Cricetulus griseus: one gene and its partner. The protein of the gene in region 1 purifies or fractionates together with the protein of each later gene. This does not show direct contact. Links are inferred from orthologs where the notes say so. Each region holds a gene or a part of one and is shown on either strand. Other genes may lie near its edges.

What was found.
Region 2: the proteins of Znf219 (region 1) and Cdk2ap1 purify together in Homo sapiens (affinity purification with mass spectrometry; 3 studies listed by BioGRID and IntAct, counting the BioPlex papers as one, with this or other methods). This does not show direct contact. The link is inferred for Cricetulus griseus from reciprocal best matches to the Homo sapiens genes ZNF219 and CDK2AP1.

The regions. Positions count from the first base shown.
Region 1 is NW_023276807.1:207,073,021-207,077,491, reverse strand, and holds the start of Znf219 (zinc finger protein 219), read left to right. Parts: upstream 1-1,451; 5' UTR 1,452-1,661; intron 1,662-1,793; exon of another isoform or gene 1,794-1,978; intron 1,979-2,187; exon of another isoform or gene 2,188-2,419; intron 2,420-2,468; exon of another isoform or gene 2,469-2,827; coding exon of another isoform or gene 2,828-2,902; intron 2,903-3,228; coding exon of another isoform or gene 3,229-3,582; intron 3,583-4,150; coding exon of another isoform or gene 4,151-4,207; intron 4,208-4,297; coding exon of another isoform or gene 4,298-4,408; intron 4,409-4,471. Other genes in the region: Tmem253 (transmembrane protein 253), read right to left, coding at 2,828-2,902, 3,229-3,582, 4,151-4,207, 4,298-4,408. UniProt on the Homo sapiens protein: Transcriptional regulator. Recognizes and binds 2 copies of the core DNA sequence motif 5'-GGGGG-3'. Binds to the HMGN1 promoter and may repress HMGN1 expression. Regulates SNCA expression in primary cortical neurons.
Region 2 is NC_048597.1:104,074,025-104,078,541, reverse strand, and holds the start of Cdk2ap1 (cyclin-dependent kinase 2-associated protein 1), read left to right. Parts: upstream 1-1,548; 5' UTR 1,549-1,642; coding exon 1,643-1,919; intron 1,920-4,517. UniProt on the Homo sapiens protein: Inhibitor of cyclin-dependent kinase CDK2. Also acts as a component of the histone deacetylase NuRD complex which participates in the remodeling of chromatin.

The DNA of each region.
Region 1 (4,471 bases):
GCTCTGTAGACCAAGCTGGTCTCAAACCCACAGTGTTCCTTCTGCCTCTGCCTCCTGAGTGCTGGGATTCAAACCAAATTCTTGCAACATTATTTGCATAATGCAGAAACTGACGTTTAAATCTACAGAACTCCAGGCTGAATGTGACCCTTGAATTAAAAAATGTTTCATTAATATTTTAAAATCAGAATTTTTACACATAAAGTCAGAATTTCTGACTTCCATTAAAAAATGTGGCATTCCCACAGCCATACGAGGCAGTAGTTGGTGTTGAGTACATACACCCTTTCACACCTGTAGTGTGTGCCATGCGTTCCCTCCAACCCTGTCATTTAGTCCCTATCTACTTCACTCATTTACACCACACCGTTATCTACCTTATTAGACAACGTATTTTTGACCTCTCAAGTGCCTCCTAATTTTAAAGTACTTTTCCTTGTGCGACACTATTTCAGCCTTGTGCATCAGAAAGGTAAAGAGGTTAAATAGGCTATAATGGCTATGTGAACAAAGTATAGTCCAGACAGATTTTACTTACCCAAGCAACAGAACTAGCATCTAGGTTCTCCTGACACCCAGTCTTAATTTTTCCCATCCAGAATTTCACGTAGAAGTTGGCTGAACTAAACAATTAGAAACGGGTATAACTGCTAAATAGACACATTCCAACTACTTATCGATTCAAGGTTCAAATTCCTAACCTTTTCCTTAAATTGTTTCTGCTTCCCTTCATTTTCCACATTGCCTTTCCTATGACATTGAGTGTGGCTTTATGATTTGCTTTGACCAATGAGTTGTGATGGAAGTTAACATGCATCCATTTGGGGAAAACCACTGCAGAATCCACGAACAATTCTTCAAGCTTAGTTCACATTGTTGGTAACTGTGTGTGTGTGTGTGCAAACTTCATGGTGACTCATGCCTTTAATGCCATCACTCACAAACACGTGAATCAAATGGGAGTTCAAGCAGGGCCTGGTCTACATGGCAAGTTCCAGGCAGCCAATAAGAAGATAAAAAAGGGAGCCTCAGCATCTAAGGGATCTTAATAATTTACAACGAGCAAAGCCCCTTGCCAGTTACTTTGGACAATAAACGAGAAATAAAACCACTGGGGTCTTGGCCTTGATTATTCAGCATTGTTAAGAGACAACACGTTCATTGAGCATCTCTTAAGATCCGGAATGCAATTTCCAGGCTACCGGTCACAACAGTAAAGGCTGGAGGACAGCAAATTGCTGATTCCCTCTATAGTTTCTTTGGCCACCACGTCCTGACTTTGAAGAAAAATATTCTTTTCAGAGCCCTTCACACATGATTCCTGCAGTTTGATTGGGGGAGAGAAGAAATGGGGGAGGCCCAGATTGGGTTCTCTCCATTCCAGAGCCTGATCCCAGAACTGTCTCCACCCACTAATACTCACACGTAACTTTGTCATAGGGCGACTATTACCACTCCCAAGGTGTCACAAACAGAAAGGATCTGCAGCTGGCGCCACTGCAATGTCAAGGCAAGCCAGCCAGGCTGCGCTCTAGCCTCACTGGTACCTGGGCTTGCCTGAGCCCGGAGAAGCAGCATTTTCTAGGGGAAAGAAGCCTTCTCAAGTGGGAACAAAAATGATGTGAGGCGAACACCCATCCCGGGCACTATGTGAATTTGGGGTGAGTTCTCTTAGGCCTAGTTCATTTCTACTTTTCGGCGGCTCCTAAGCTGCCTCCTGGTGTTATCGGGATCCACCATTTTCCTGGGCTTTCCCCCAAACCACCGAGCCTGTCATCTTTGTACACTTGCAGAGGTCATAAGCGGTGTGGGCTCAGTGCAAGCAGAGCTTCAGCGACCAAACGGCTGCAGGGATCAAAGGCCCGCCGGGGGCGGCTGAGAGCCTGAGCCTGCGCAGTCCTGCTCCCGCCTTGGAAAGGGTGGCGGCCACGCGGGCTCGGTCCACCAGCGTGCTCGCTAGAGGCGGGAAAAGTCCTAGGTCGGTACCCCCGCCTGCCCAGCCAGCCTGTCCTCTCCAGCGCCCGGTCCGGGGGGAGGGGGCGAGGAGGGCCGGCGCCACTGACTCATCATCTCCAACCCCCTTCTCGCGCGCGCTCCAAGTCTCAGGACTTTGAACCTGGGCACTGGCGCGAGGGGCGCGGCGGCAGCACCTGGGGAAGTGCGGCTCGGCCAGGCGCCGGCCCCCTGCCTTTGCCAGTATCCGCAGCTGCAGGCGGGAGGGCTAGAGACCCCCAGCAGGCTGCGGTTGCCTGGCCGCGGTGGCGGCACCCCTGTGCGCCACGGCCCGCCCGGCTCCTCCCTGCACGCGGGGCCAGTGGTCGCGTCCGAGGAAACTCGGCTAGGCCCTGCTCCCAGCGCCTCGCGTCACTCAGCAGATGCACAGCGCCCCCGCCGCCGAGGGAAGGCCCTTTATTTTCCAGTAGGTCACGGGGTAGCGGGGCATCCTGGGATTTGTAGTCTGGTGAATTAGGCAGGACCCGGATCCAAGGGAGACCTGGAGCACAACCGACGCGGATTCCGGGTTGGCGGGTGCAGCAACCGGGCTCGGAGTGGATGGGATTGTGAAAGGTGAACAGACGAAAACAGTGAGATGAGGCAGATGTGAAGCTGGATGGAGAGGCAGGGAGGAAGAAGGCCAAGAATGCAAGGGAGGAAGCAGCTTGACAATAAGGGCCTGGTTTGAAGGGAGACTGAGGGCACTCCTCCGGGCTTCATGCACATCTTGGGGGAGTTCAGTTATATTCCGAGGGAGGGGCACAACGCAGAAGTGTCTGGAGAATGCCCCCCTTGGCGTAGGAGGACAGTGGCACCTGTCTTGACCACTCACTCATCTGTTGTTTCCTGTGCTAGCCACCACGGGACTACTCTCCAAACCAGAAACCTCCTCCACCTCAGTGAGACCCTGAAAAACAGATGTGAGCAAATTTTAGGGTCAAGAAAGGAGAAACCCCAGGTAGAAGCAAAACCCAGCTTTTCGAGTCTTTCCAGTAATACATTAAGGTAGCTTACTAATGTTTGCACACTCGTGTAGTCCCAGTCATTAAATACCCAATTCCTTTACATCCATCATTTGGGGGACTAACATCCAATGCCAGAAAGCCAGTCAGTTTCAACCCTTCATTTCCCTACTGCCTCACTATTTGCCCTTAAATGGCACTGACTAGTACAGCCAGAAGAAAAATTAGCTGGAAGCTTGCTTCTTCATGTTTTCCTCCCGGCACTCCCTACCTCCTGTAGCTCCTGGTAGTGCAGACTTGACCTTGTGAAGCATCCTGGCTTCCTCTGGCTCAGCAAGAATAAGGCATATGCTGAGACCAGCACTCCTCCTAGGGCGAAGGCCTCAGCGCTGAGCTCTAGCACCAGCAACCCTGTCAACTGCAGGAGCAGGGTGAGGATGCTTTTGGGGGGTACAATCCCTATTTCCTTCTGCCCTTTCTTCTCCCCTGTACCTTTCTTCGCCTTCACCAGTACCTGGGAGGGGGCAGTAGGAGCAGGCCCCAGTGCTGTCTTCATCACCTCGATCACCACCACGATGAAGCCCAAGATCAGGTTGAAAGTGTTGGATATCATCATGGCCCGCACCTACCAGTGAGCCAGCTCAGCCCTGCCCAGCCTAGGGGACTCATGCCAAGCTCAGACTCCACCTACAGCCTAGCTGAAAACAAAACTCAGAGGCAGGACTGGTGGTATAGGTAGGCCTGTAATCCTTGACACCTGGGAGGCTGAGGCAGGAGGATCAAAAGTTCTAGGCCTGACTGGACTCCAGAATATGTTCAAGACCATACTGAGTAAACTTACTGGGGGGGGGGAGCTAGGGCTTTAGCTCAGGGGTAGTGTTTGCCTATTGTTGTGCACGTGGCTCTGGGTTCAATCCACAGCACACACACACACACACACACACACACACACACACACACACACACACACACACGCAGAAAAAAAACTAACAAAATCCTGCTATTTCCCTTCTAACATTCTAACAGGACCATCAGGCCTCTGACATTTTTACTTTCTTGCTTTGGTCAGGTACAAACAGCTGAGAGGATAAGTTGCTCTTTGGGTTGAGTGTGTGTGTGTGTGTGTGTGTGTGTGTGTGTGTGTGTGTGTTGGGCAGTAGGGGGACAGGCCTGTGTTCTCTCCTCTTCCTCACCTTCCAGATGCAAGGTGCTCTCCGAAGCTCAAGGGTGATAATCCCAGTGAGGAAACCCTAAATGGTGAGAAGGGCAATTTGTGAACTCCAGTCTTATTAGAGATGGGTTCCCAGGACCTTCCTTTCACCCTTTGTGGTAGATCTTACCGAGGCTCCAGGCCAAAGTGGTAGTGCTGTGGCCATATGACAAGCAGAGCTCAAGCACGCAACTGAGATAGTAAAGGGCACCATGGCTATTGCCAGCCATAGCTGGCTCACCTGGAGGCCAGAGTTGGGTCATTAGAGGGGACTGTCAGATTCTCTTTCCTCCTCACAATGTTT
Region 2 (4,517 bases), on another chromosome or scaffold:
CAGGGAAACATAACAACAACAAACCAGGCCAGGCATTGTGGCTCAAGCCTTTAATCCCTGCCCCCCTGGAAGGTAGAAGCAGGTGGATCTTTGTGAGTTCCAGGCCAGCATAGTTTACATATTAAGCTAGCTAGGGATACATTGTGAGATCCTGTTTAAAAAAAAAAAAAAAAAGTCAAGAATCTTACTGATGAATTTCTGTGTATTCATTCATTATGAATTGAAATTGTCCTGTTGTGGATCCGGTCGTTTAAATACATTATTGGAATTAATTTTATGCCATGTTCTGCTTTCAAAAATTGACTACTAAAACGTTTAAAATATATATATTTTATATATATTATTTTATAATATATATATATATATCGTCTTATATCAGCCATTGTAGAATGGGTTGCATTCATTTCTTTATAAGATAAAATGTCACCAAGAAGCCTTTGACAGAGCAATTCTAAGGATGCTAGCAGGGGTGTTGGTGGAGCGGGGGTGGGAGGGGAAGAGGCGGTCCCCTCCCCTGCACCTTTAGTCCCAAAGGGAAAGGGAGAGTAAGACCCCGGTGGTGGTGCCTTTTTTTTGTCTAGCAGAGAAGCTGACGCCGTTGTCAACAGATTCACAGATCATGTCTAAATATGACTAATTAAAAACAAACAAACAAACATCAAAAAAGCCCAACCAACCTGCAAACCATGGCGATTAAAAACAACAGAAAAGGGTGGGCGTTTTATGTAATTTGATGAGCATTACTATTCAGGCAGAACTCCAAAATATAGTACCTTCGGAAGGTTATTCATCAAATCCCAAATACGTTTGGTGATGACGTTTCAGTCAGTTCCTAGGATGGGTGGGAGTGTGTATGGGGTGGGGTGGGGAAGGGGGGGTGTCTAAAACATGGAGTGTAAACTCCGGGGAGTCGAAACTTTGCCAAGTTCATTCTTGAATCCTTAGCGTCTAGAGCCGTGTCTGACACACAGTAGGTGCTCCCTTGAAAAATCCCAAAGAGTTCCTGTGCCAAATGCTGTGGATGCTGCGAGGGCGAATTTGCTGGAGGAGGAGGCGTCTCTTCATCCAGCTTTTGTCAGTCTCAAAGGAATCTTGGGTTCCCAAAGGGTTAAAAAAAAAAAAAAAAAGCCCACTTAATCCAGGCAGAGACATGACATTTTTTTTTTTTTCGAAATAAATGTCAAGAACGGGTTATTCTAATTCTGGGACAGAGCCAGACATGGACATCTGGAATGATCTACGTCCAAGTAAAAATAAATAAATAAAAAAAATAAGACAAACCACCAAAAAAAAAAAAAACCCGAAAACCCAATCGCCACCATTTTCTCCAGGTAATTTTCCATCCCTGCCCCCACAGTCAAGAGACACAGGAAAAAAAAGTACTTCTTCCATCCAGCCTGGCTGTTTAAGAAAGAGGAAGGAGCGGGCCAATGAGCGGCGCGCGGGAGGCTGGGGCGCCGCGGGGGCGCCGCGGGGACCGCAGCCCCCCAAACTTTGGCAAGTTGCGGGCGGCGCGCTGCGCGGGGCGCGGCCGCGGGGAGGCCGCCCCCTCGACGCCCGCCGCCCCCTCCCGGTTCGGGGCCGGGCCCAGCACCGGCTGGGCTCAAAGTTTGCGGCCGCCCCTGCGCCGCGCGCCCGATGTATGGGTGATATACTGCGGCGGCGGCAGGGTGAGGGACGGCCATATTTGCCGGCGCGGCCCGAGCCGGCGACAACAAAAAGTGCGCGGGCGCCCGGTGGGCGCTCGGACGGGCGCGGGGACGTGGGGCCGCCCGGCCCGGGCCTCGGCCTCGCCGTCGCCGCCGCCGCCGCGCTCGCGCCTGGCCCGGCTCTGCCCGGGCGCGCCCGGCCGCCCGCGGGGATGTCGTACAAGCCGAACTTGACCCGCGCACAATGCCCCGCCGCCGCCCTCAACGCCGGTGAGTGGGCGCGGCCGCGCGCGCGCGCAAAGTGCCGCCAAGTTGGGGGCTCGCGCTGCCGGCCTCGGCCCGGGGCTCCCCGAGTCGCGCGGCGCCTGAAGGCCGGCGAGCTGCCCGCGGGTGGCGGTGGTGGTTGGGGATGTCCGCGGGCCGGGGCAGCGCGGCGCGCCGCCTCAGCCGCCGCGCCGCCCATGATTCCCGCCGCCCGTGCCGCAAAGTTTCGCGGTGCGCCGGAGCTCGGCGGGGCTGCGCGCTCGGGCCCGGGTGCGAGCGGCCACGGATGGCGGGGGAAGCAAGGAACTCGGGCGGCCGGCCGGCGGGGCGAAGAAGGCTTTTTTCCTCAGCCCCCCCTTTTTTTTTCTTTCCTTAGGATTTTTGGGCGGCTCGGCGAGGGGCCCCTGCCGGCGGGAGGCGGGAGCGGCCGGCTGCGCGGGGAGCGAGGCGCGGGGCGCCGAGGGTCGGTGGAGCGGGACAGGCCAGGGCCGGGCCGCGTGGCCGCGGGCCCCAGGAGGGAGCCTGGCCCGGGTCGCGGGCGGCGGGTGGGCAGGGGACCGCAGCCTGGGGGTGGGAGCGGCTCCTGGCTCCCCATCCCCCACGCCCTCGGGAGGTCCCTGGAAAGAAGTTGGAGTGTCCGGGCCTCGTGGGCACTGCGGGCGGCGTGCTGGGTCCCGCGGGTCTCCATCTCGGAGTCCCCACGTGGGTACGCGCCCCAAGGGCCGCTCTGCAGAAGCCCGGGGGACCCGGTCTCCCTTCCCCGCTGGGGCTGGCGCCTCCGGGAAACTCCTGCAAAGTTCCTAGACAGCTTTCGGCTGTGCAGGGGCTAGTCCCGAACCCCGAGGGAACCGGGGCGAGGGGTGTGAAACCGTGGCGCTCATAGGTCACCGGTCTTGTGTCCCCTCTAGTAACCCCCTAGACATTTGGCTGTGAACAGACCACCCCCTGAAACAGACGCGAGATAACGGGGTGCCAGGAGAGCTAAGGCCTTCTGTGGGAGTTGGGGTCCGAGTTGGTTATGGTCGCTGTGTCAAACATACTACCCATGTCGGCACTTACAACTTGGGGGTGGTCTTGTGTTGAAATGTTGATTCTAGAACTCCAAAAATCCTCTAGAGGACCTCGAAAAGCCCTGGACATGTGTTTTTAAACTTCTTGGACACTGGCTGCTCTTTGGGATTTACGGTGCCAGCTTGGGAGAGTTGAAACACGTGGGCACAGAGCCCCCCAAAGCATGCAGCCACTGTATCACCCCAGATGGTGCCACCCCCTTTGGGTGACAGGCTTTGTTGGCAGGTAGGATTTTTGTCTCCCAGCCTTCTTGGTCAGTGCCTGGGATGGAAGGTTAGTGGGTTGCGTTGTCAGGCTGTGGGAAGCCAGAGACAGGCTTGATCTGGGGTAGTTGCCCCAGGGTCAAAAATTGGGACCTTTTGGGGTTGTGGGTCACAGTGGCAGGCAGCCCCTGGGACTCTGAAGCCCTGTTCTGGGCTTGCTAGCACCTGTATTCAGCTCAAGTTCTTTTTCTAATGACGAATGCCAGAGGCGGAGCGGGGTCTTAAGGTGTCCGGCATTTTGGTGGGGCCCGCCCGCCCGCTTGCCAGTATTACTTTGCAGAAAGCCCTGCTCTCCCCTGCCATCTGCATCCAAGATGGACTCTCACAGTGGCTCCTCCGCCTTCCCTGTCATCATCCCTCACGCCCTCCAGCCCTGCCTCCTGCTCACTGAGTTGCCAAGCTGCGGCCTGGCCGGCGGTGGCAGTGGCGGAGTTAGACAAAGCCCCCGCCTCCCCCGCCCGAGAGCCCCCCCCAGGCGCCCCAAGTGGCGGGAAGGCCGCCAGCTCCCCAGGCCCAGGCCGCTCTTTGTCTGGCGTGGGGGCGGGGAGCTGCGCCTGGCCCCAGGAGCTTCCTGGCCTCTGCCAAGCCCTCCCGGCTCTCTGCACACTGCGCTCATTGTCTGAGATGCTCCACACCGGCTGTGCTGACGTGGAGCTGCCTCCCTGGCCTCCCTCAGCCCAGGTGCCAATATCTTAGGGAAGGAGAGGGCTTGAGTGGTGCGGAAGACCCTTCCACCACGACTTCAGGGGTGCGGAGGGGGGGCGGGCTGATATCTTCCCCAACACTGAATATGGGCCTGGCTTTGACATAATCAGTCAGGCACATCTCCACTCCTCCAGGGTGGTGGGAAAGCAAGCTCTGAGATCCTCCACCCATGTTGTGGTGTTTCTCATTCCTCCTCTACACCCCCAGCCCCCTAATCCCATCCCCAAAGTCATTAAAATGTGGGATAACTCAACTATTGGGAAGTTTCTCAAAGATGGAGAAACAGAGGCCCACAAGGGCCTTGACAGAGCTCCCACAGCCAGGAGTGGAGTGGCACTGCTGGGACAGACCCCCAAGTCCAGGAGAGAAGATGTGTCAGGGAGGTGAGAAATAGCAAAAAGCGTGGGAAGCACACGAGGTGCCCCTGGTGCTTCAAGGATGACCTTGTATGTGGTGCTGGAATCCTCTAAAGGCCTCAAATGCTCTATCATCACACACACACACACACACACACACACACACACACACACACAGACACAGACACACTCACACTCGAGCGCTCGGG